Canis lupus familiaris: one gene and its partner. The protein of the gene in region 1 interacts with the protein of each later gene in a pairwise test. Links are inferred from orthologs where the notes say so. Each region holds a gene or a part of one and is shown on either strand. Other genes may lie near its edges. The genes, in order: NIPBL and MAU2.

Region 1 (3,393 bases):
AGCTAACAGTTTCATAAAGTACAAAAAAAAAAAAAAAAACATAGAATTTAACTGTTTAAGAAAAGTTGCATATTATCTTATTGAAAAGTTCTTAAAAGGGAGAGTTTGGTAAAAGTTGGGGTGTTCAAGCCTATTATATTCTCCTCAGTTAAATTATATTCAGTATTATTTTTTAAAAATAATCTCTCTGAAAAAAAAATAATAATCTCTCTGCCCATCGTGGGGCTCAAACTCATGACCTTTGAGATCAAGAGTCACATACTCTACTAACTGAGCCAGCCAGGCATCCTTTTCCTTACTTAAATTATGATTACTGCTTTTTCTCTATAGTGGCTTAACCTATGTAACAAATCAATACTTTTATAACCAATTTATCTTTCACCTCTATCCTATAACAAAAGTGTTTCCCTTTGATATTTGATAAGGGCTTTTAGGGAGGGGGTAATCAGAGTGAATTCTATGTGATTTTGTTTAGTCTTGGAACCTAATTGTTGTTTATGGAAAGTCAGAGTTTCAACATATAAAATACTAATTTAGAGATGCTTTTTGAAGCTTGTGAATAGAGCATAATTTTTTTAGTGGTATTTTGTTACTATTTTTCCTTTTTTTTTCTTCTTTTTTTCTTTTTTTCTTTTCAGTCAATGGTAAAAGACAAAAGGAAAGAGAGAAAATCATCACCTAGTAAGGAAAATGAGTCAAGTGAGAGTGAAGAAGAAGTTTCCAGGCCTCGGAAGTCACGGAAACGTGTAGATTCAGATTCAGATTCAGATTCAGAAGATGATATAAATTCAGTGATGAAATGTTTGCCAGAAAATTCAGCTCCTTTAATTGAATTTGCAAATGTCTCCCAGGGTATTTTATTGCTTCTGATGTTAAAACAACATTTGAAGAATCTTTGTGGATTTTCTGATAGGTAAGGTTACACATAAGCAATGAGAGAAAAAACTTTACCCTGTTCAAATTATAAAGAAACATGAAACCCAGTTTTGACTGCGTATTTACTTTCATATTAAAAATGTTCCTTTTGGGATCCCTGGGTGGCGCAGCGGTTTAGCGCCTGCCTTTGGCCCAGGGCGCGATCCTGGAGACCCGGGATCGAATCCCACATCGGGCTCCCGGGGCATGGAGCCTGCTTCTCCCTCTGCCTGTGTCTCTGACTCTCTCTCTCTCTGTGTGACTATCATAAATAAATAAAAATTAAAAAAAAAATTTTTTTTAATAAAAAAATAAAAAAAATGTTCCTTTTATTAAAAAAAAATGTTCCTTTTAAAAGAAGGAATTTGTTCCTTTTTGTTACTATATAGTATTTTGTTGTGTAATATGCCACAATTTGTACATTCATTTATTGAAAAGAGGAAAAGCATTCCCTAGTTGCATTATAAATGAAAGGACTTATTTTGTTGATTTCCTTAAATAGATCTTATTAGAGAATTAGGATAATCTTAAAATAGATTGCAAATTTAAGTTTTTAAAGAGCTGCAAGTAAAGAATAGACCAACCAAGCTGAACTCAATAGAACCCAAATGGTGTTAAATGTTGGCAACTAATTAAAAATAATGTAAAACCTTGTAAGGTCTTGGGGCGGTGCTAAGAAGTTGGGAAGATTTTTAAGCCAGAGTTGTTAATAATATGAAACAGATTTGTAAACATTGTGGCTGCTGTGTAGAGGATGAATAGTTGGAGGGCAAGAAAGTAGGAGGTAAACCAGTATTTATATTGAAACTGTTCTACAGTCACAATCATGGTATTCAAAACAGACATGAGAAATTACTTTCGTTTAATGATACCTCTACTCAAGACAAATACTGATGGAAACGAGAGAATATTACTCTTTTTAATCTTTGCCTTTATGTCTTTACTTCCCTTTTTAAAATTATATTTATTTTTGTGTACAAGTTCACTGGTCGAAATCTGTATGACAAAAAGTTTAATTATTAGTAAATGAAGTTTAACTACAATCACTTTCAATATAAATGCCTGAAAAAATTTTAATGCCTTTGTTTTCCCAAAACAGTAAAATTCAGAAATACTCTCCATCTGAATCTGCAAAAGTATATGATAAAGCGATAAACCGGAAAACAGGAGTTCATTTTCATCCCAAACAAACACTGGACTTCCTGCGGAGTGATATGGCTAATTCTAAAATCACTGAGGATGTGAAGAGGAGTATAGTAAAACAGTATCTAGATGTGAGTAGTAAAACCAAAATATATTTCCTTCTAATAATACTTTTATGAAAAGTAAATTCTTTGGGGGAGATGGTTCTCTCTCTTACCTGGAAGATTCATGAACTTTCAGATTATTTTTCTCTATGTGGTTTTAATGATTTAGGGGAATCTTGCCTTTTCCATTTCACACATTGCATCATATTTTGCCTTAGGAAATGCCAGCCCACTACTCATTTTATTTTAGTGAGAATGAGTTTATGGGCAAGTTTCAGGAAAAAACCATGCCCGCATATGGATTTTTTTTTTAATTCAGTAGATTACATGGTTTATAGTTCATAAGAGCAAAAGTCATGAAAAGTCATCCTCCTGCCCTCCTCAGCCATTCTGTTGTTCTCCTTCCTGGCAACCAGTATTACTACCTATTCATGTATTCTTACAGAAGTATAATACTGGTTTATATATTTGTATCATATATACCATACCCTTACATACATAACCAGTTAACAAATATGTGAGAAAATGTGTGTGTAGAATGTGCTTTTAAAATGACGAATTCATTAGAGATAGAAAATGGAATAGGAGTTACCTGGGGCTGGGGGGCAGGAAGGAAGGGGAAGCTGTTGTTTTAATAGGTACAGAATGAGTTTCTGTTTGGAATGATAAAAAAGTTTTGGAAATGATGGTGATGATGACTACACAACAATATGAATATACTTAATGGAAGTGAATTGAACATTTTAAAATCATTAGAATGGTAAGTTTTATGTGTATTTTACCACAGTAAAGTTTTATGTTTAAAAACATGAAGTTTTGTTTTGTTTTGTTTTGAGATTGTCCCTAAAAAATATATTTTTTATTTTAATCAACTTAAAGCAACTAGCTGAACATAACTAATAATATTTTTGACCAAGAATGAAACCTACACAGGGGCATCTACGTGGCTCAGTCAGTTAAGTGTCTGATTCTTGGTTATGACTCAAGTCATGATCTCCTCATGGCCAGACAGAACTCCACTTTTGCATTCTGCTCCCTGCTCAGCGAGGAGTCTGTTTCCCCTCTTCCTCTCTCCTTCCCTCCTCCACCCACCCTCTCTCCGCTCACGCACTCTTTCTCTCCCTCCCTCTTACTCTCTAAAAATAAATTTTTTTAAAAAGAATGAAATCTGCAATGTTTTTCATATTATTCATAGACTGCAAACCTTATACTCTAAAGCTAAAAATTATTT
Region 2 (4,467 bases), on another chromosome or scaffold:
AGAGTGCATGGCAGCAGCAAGGAGACCAATGAGAAGGCTTGCTGGCTCCAAGTAAAAGATGATGGTGTCTTCGGGTGAGGGTGTTAAGTGCAGAGATGGAGAAGAGATCTCAGAGGCTCCCCATGGGACTCAGAATAAAATCCAAATTCTGTAAGTTGATTTTCAGGGAAAGGACTTGCCTTTCTTACTTCCACTTCATTCTTGACATTCTCAGAATGACAAGCCCATCGCACCACAAAGACTTGCACTTGCTATCTCCCCTCTGCGTGGAAAGCTACCCTCCAGGCCTTCCCATAGATGGCATCTCCCCATCTCAAATGTGTTCTGCTCAAAAAGGGCTTCCTTGGCCACCCAGTATCAGCAGCCTCCACTCCCATGCTCTCACATCATTATACCTGTGTCTCTGCAAATATTTCTTCTTGATGCATTGTTTGACGTCCCAGTAGAAAGTAACCTTCAGGAAGGCAAGACCCTTTTGGGTTACCACTGCATCCCCAGCGCCCAGCATAGTGCTTGGCACACAGTATTTGCTGAATGGGTGAATGTATCCCAGGCTGGGGTGAAGGGGAGCTAGGGTTGGGAGAGAGGGAAAGGCAAGGCTTGAGGTAAAGGGGGTGGGGGGTGGGGCTCGAAACACCGAAAAAAAAAAAAAGTCTTAGACCAGTTAGAAAAAGCAGCTTTTTCAGAAAGCTGACACAGGCCAGACAGCAGCTGCTACGAACAGGGGGGAGCTGGACGGTCCAAGGTTGCTGCTGTTTCAGGGAGCAGAGCTCTAAGCAGTCCTGAAGGCGATTATTTCGGAAAGGGAGAGCAGGGCCGACCCAGTGACGGCCTCTACGGAATGCCGGGCAAACCAGGCGGTGGGGGCAGCAACTGAGTCTGGGGTCTCGGGAGACGGGGAAGATGCAGAAAGCCGCCGCTTTGGAACGCCCTAAGGGCTGAGGCGAGGGGCCGGTGGGTCGAGCCTGACCCGAGAGAACGAAACGGGGACGTTTAGCGCGGCGGACCCAGACCGGCGCTTGAGGGTAGGCGGGGGCTGTTACCTGCAACATCCCGGTTGTCCATCTTGAGACTCATCCAATCCCACAATGCTCCCGTGCCACTTGAGAAGCCTTGTTATAGTACGCATGCCCTGATGGGAGATGTAGTCCGTGACGGTCAAGCAAGTCCCGCCGCTGAGTAGATACCTGGGGTTTTTTCCCAAGGAAAACAAACCTCAGTCTATTGGCAATCTCTGTTCTCAGTCCCGCGGACCAAAGGGCATCGACTTTTCGCACACTGCCCCGGAACCGCAGCCGCTCCAAAGACGAACTACATATTCCAGAATGCTCTATGCAGGAGCTCTCGCGAGAGGTGTGAGAAGGGCCCAGCCCCGCCCCGCGCGCCTGCTTCCGCCTCCCTGTGGCGGCGGCTTGTTGTTGTGGAGGCCAAAATGGCGGCTCAAGCGGCGGCGGCGGCCCAGGCGGCGGCGGCCCAGGCAGCGCAGGCTGAGGCGGCCGAGTCGTGGTACCTGGCGCTTCTGGGCTTCGCCGAGCACTTCCGCACTTCCAGCCCGCCCAAGATCCGCCTGTGTGTGCACTGCCTGCAGGCCGTGTTCCCCTTCAAGCCGCCGCAGCGCATCGAGGCCCGCACGCACTTACAGCTCGGTTCCGTGCTCTACCACCACACCAAGAACAGCGAACAGGCGCGCAGCCACCTGGAGAAGGCGGTGAGCGCGGACCCGGCCGCGAGGGAGGAGGCACGGGCTCTTTCCGGGGCCTGGGCTGACGGACTGCGACCCCAGCGGGCAGGGGCCGTCTGGCCCCTCTTCGGGTACCTGGGGCGCGACTTCCGCACGAGCAGCAGGACCCCGAAGCCGCCAGCCTCTCAGGGGACCCGAGGGCCTCTCTCTGTACCTTACTTAGCGTCCCTAGTGACAGGCAGGGCCCCAGGACCCCGCTCAGGGTATTGGAGAGTTGTCTCTTATCAGGAACAGTAGGGTCCCCAGATTCTCCAGGATTTCAGGAGAGTATCATCTGATGGTGCCTATGGGAAGGCCACCAGATCGGCCAGTGGGTCCTGCAGCTTCGAGCTCCTCAGGGCTCAGCCCCGTGAGCATCAGCTTGAACGCTCCCTCCTGAAGTGACTCAGGATAGGGCAGGGCCAAGGTGACAGTCCAGGCATCCCTTGAAAATCTTAAGTTTGGTCTCTCAGGCAACCTAGGAAGCATCCTCTCCCTGGACCTGGAAGTCTGATAAGTGTCTGGAGGGTATTGTGCCTCTATCCCTAATGCAAGGTGTCATAGATGGGAGGCAGAGGCTCAGAGAAAAGAAATTAAAATCCTGTAAGGCAGAACTGAGGGGGGCCTATGTTCCAGAACCATTTTCTACCATGGGGTGGGGTGGGATGGGGGGGGAAATCTCCAAGCTCTTGCTCTCTTTGTATCCATGGTGACTTCTCTTCCTCCCACCATGCGTTAGTCTATTCCCTTCAGAAGAGAGACCTCATCCCCCTATCTTGACTTGTGGGATTTTGGTGCTTCAAAGAATGTGGGAAAGTGGCTGTCATTGTGCCCCTTCTGGCGTTGGCATTGTTTCTTGTCATAGCAACGCTGTGCTTCTGTCAGACCAGGCCTCCATTTGCCGTTTACCTGGCCTTAATTTGGCTTAAGAGATTTCTTTAAAAAAAAAAAAAAATCAACTTAAGTTTTTAAAGTGTATTCATCTGAGGTAAATCCCAGCCCACCTATGTCTAGTCATGAATTACCTTTGGGAGAATATCAAAGAGTGTAAAGAGTTGGAAGGGGACTTTAGTCTTTGCTTGATCACCTTCCTTGTTTTAGGAGTGAGGCAGTATGGGTCTAGAGAGATGAAGTGATTTGCCCAAAGCTACACATCAAATTATTAACAAAACTGTCTCAAATTTGGGCTCAGGATCGGCAACTTCAGTGCCTAGACAATAAGTCATTATGGTTTTTATGAAGTTTTTTTTCTTCTCTTCATTCAGCAGATATTTATTCAGTTCACACCAGGTGCCAAGCTCTATTCTAGGTGCTGTAGATCAGTGATGACTAAAATAGTCCCTGTCAACATGAGCTTATGTTTTTTTGTGTGAAGGAGACAAACGTTAAATGTGTAGTAAAAGGTTAGGCAATGATAGAAGAGCCATGGAAAATATGATCCAAGGTGAAGAGATGGGAGTTGATGGGGAGCTTTTTTTTGGCAGACGTAGTGAGGAAAGTCTATCTGTAGGAGTGACATTTGAGCAAGCGTGAATGGGATGGGGAAAGCAAACCTGGAGAACGACTCAGGATGTCAGGTTAATCCCAAGAGATGCCTGAGCTGTGACCAGTTGGTGTAAGGTCTCTCCTGGGCAGTGATGAGGCTGAGATCAAATGGAGCCCCAGACTTCCCTGGGTGTGGGCATGTTGGAGACTGACTGCTCAGGCCTCATGGCCCAATGCTTTCAGTGAATTGGGGTCCTGAAGCTCTCCCTTCTCTGAATTAACAACAAATCTTGCCACCCTCTTCCCTTGTCTTGGGGGGTCATTCAGTCCTTTTTTTTTGAGCAGTGGTTCATAGTTGTATGTATTGTCACATTTTGCCTACCCAGTGCTGTGGAGGGGAAGCTGCCATGCCTCAGATTGCTTCCTTGGAGCCGCTGGGCTTCTAGATCCATAATTTAAACCATTATGCTTGTGAAGTGCCTTCCCTTGATTTTACAGAACCCTGAATCTTATGGGGTTTTCCACACAGCCACAAGGTCCCCCTCTTTAGCTCACACTGACATTGTACTTGGAAATCCCTTCCTTCCTGTCAGTTGCATCCCTAGCTAGGAATTTGTCCAGTTTTCAGTTAAAGTGCTTTTCTCCATGCTGTTTTCTTCTGCAATTGTATGTAATTTCCTATTGTGTTGCAACACAAGCATGTTTCTTTAATCTTCGTTCTTTGTTAGTCCTGTGATCCCCCCCCTCCCCACACTCAGGCTGCTGTCAACTTCGTTCCTTTCCCAGGTTCACTCAACAAAAAAAATTATAATACGTTCTTCTTTTATTAGTGGTTTGTTTCTAGTCCTGAAGAGCAAATGGCCAAATAGGTTTCCATTTCTTATTAGGGAGTCAACCCAGAATATCAAAAAGCATTTTTTTAAAGATTTTATTTATTCATGAGAGACACAGAGGGATAGACATTTTGTGACTGTTTTCTCCTTGATCATTCCTCATGCTGTTTTCTGAACTAATTTTCTGTAACTTTTGAGTGCTTCAGGTAAAACTTTCAATGGGCCTCCTCACTTACCACCACATTTGGTTTCCTTCTTACCATCTCTTCTGTTTTCTCTCTGAGAAACCCCCAACCTCCTTGGTAATCAATTTTTTTTAATATAAAGTTAGATTACCCTGTTTTTGCTTCCATCAGTGTCTCATTGCCTCAACTGCATTTGTAAACTTTGTAGAAGGAAGGTATTATCTGCTTACCCACCAACTTCATC

Evidence for each region.
Region 2: the proteins of NIPBL (region 1) and MAU2 interact in binary tests that used the Homo sapiens proteins (3 or more experiments, as listed by UniProt). The link is inferred for Canis lupus familiaris from reciprocal best matches to the Homo sapiens genes NIPBL and MAU2.

The regions. Positions count from the first base shown.
Region 1 is NC_049225.1:72,496,301-72,499,693, reverse strand, and holds part of NIPBL (nipped-B-like protein), read left to right. Parts: intron 1-638; coding exon 639-913; intron 914-2,014; coding exon 2,015-2,189; intron 2,190-3,393. UniProt on the Homo sapiens protein: Plays an important role in the loading of the cohesin complex on to DNA. Forms a heterodimeric complex (also known as cohesin loading complex) with MAU2/SCC4 which mediates the loading of the cohesin complex onto chromatin.
Region 2 is NC_049241.1:44,298,607-44,303,073, reverse strand, and holds the start of MAU2 (MAU2 chromatid cohesion factor homolog), read left to right. Parts: upstream 1-1,382; 5' UTR 1,383-1,432; coding exon 1,433-1,708; intron 1,709-4,467. Other genes in the region: SUGP1 (SURP and G-patch domain-containing protein 1), read right to left, coding at 1,044-1,077. UniProt on the Homo sapiens protein: Plays an important role in the loading of the cohesin complex on to DNA. Forms a heterodimeric complex (also known as cohesin loading complex) with NIPBL/SCC2 which mediates the loading of the cohesin complex onto chromatin.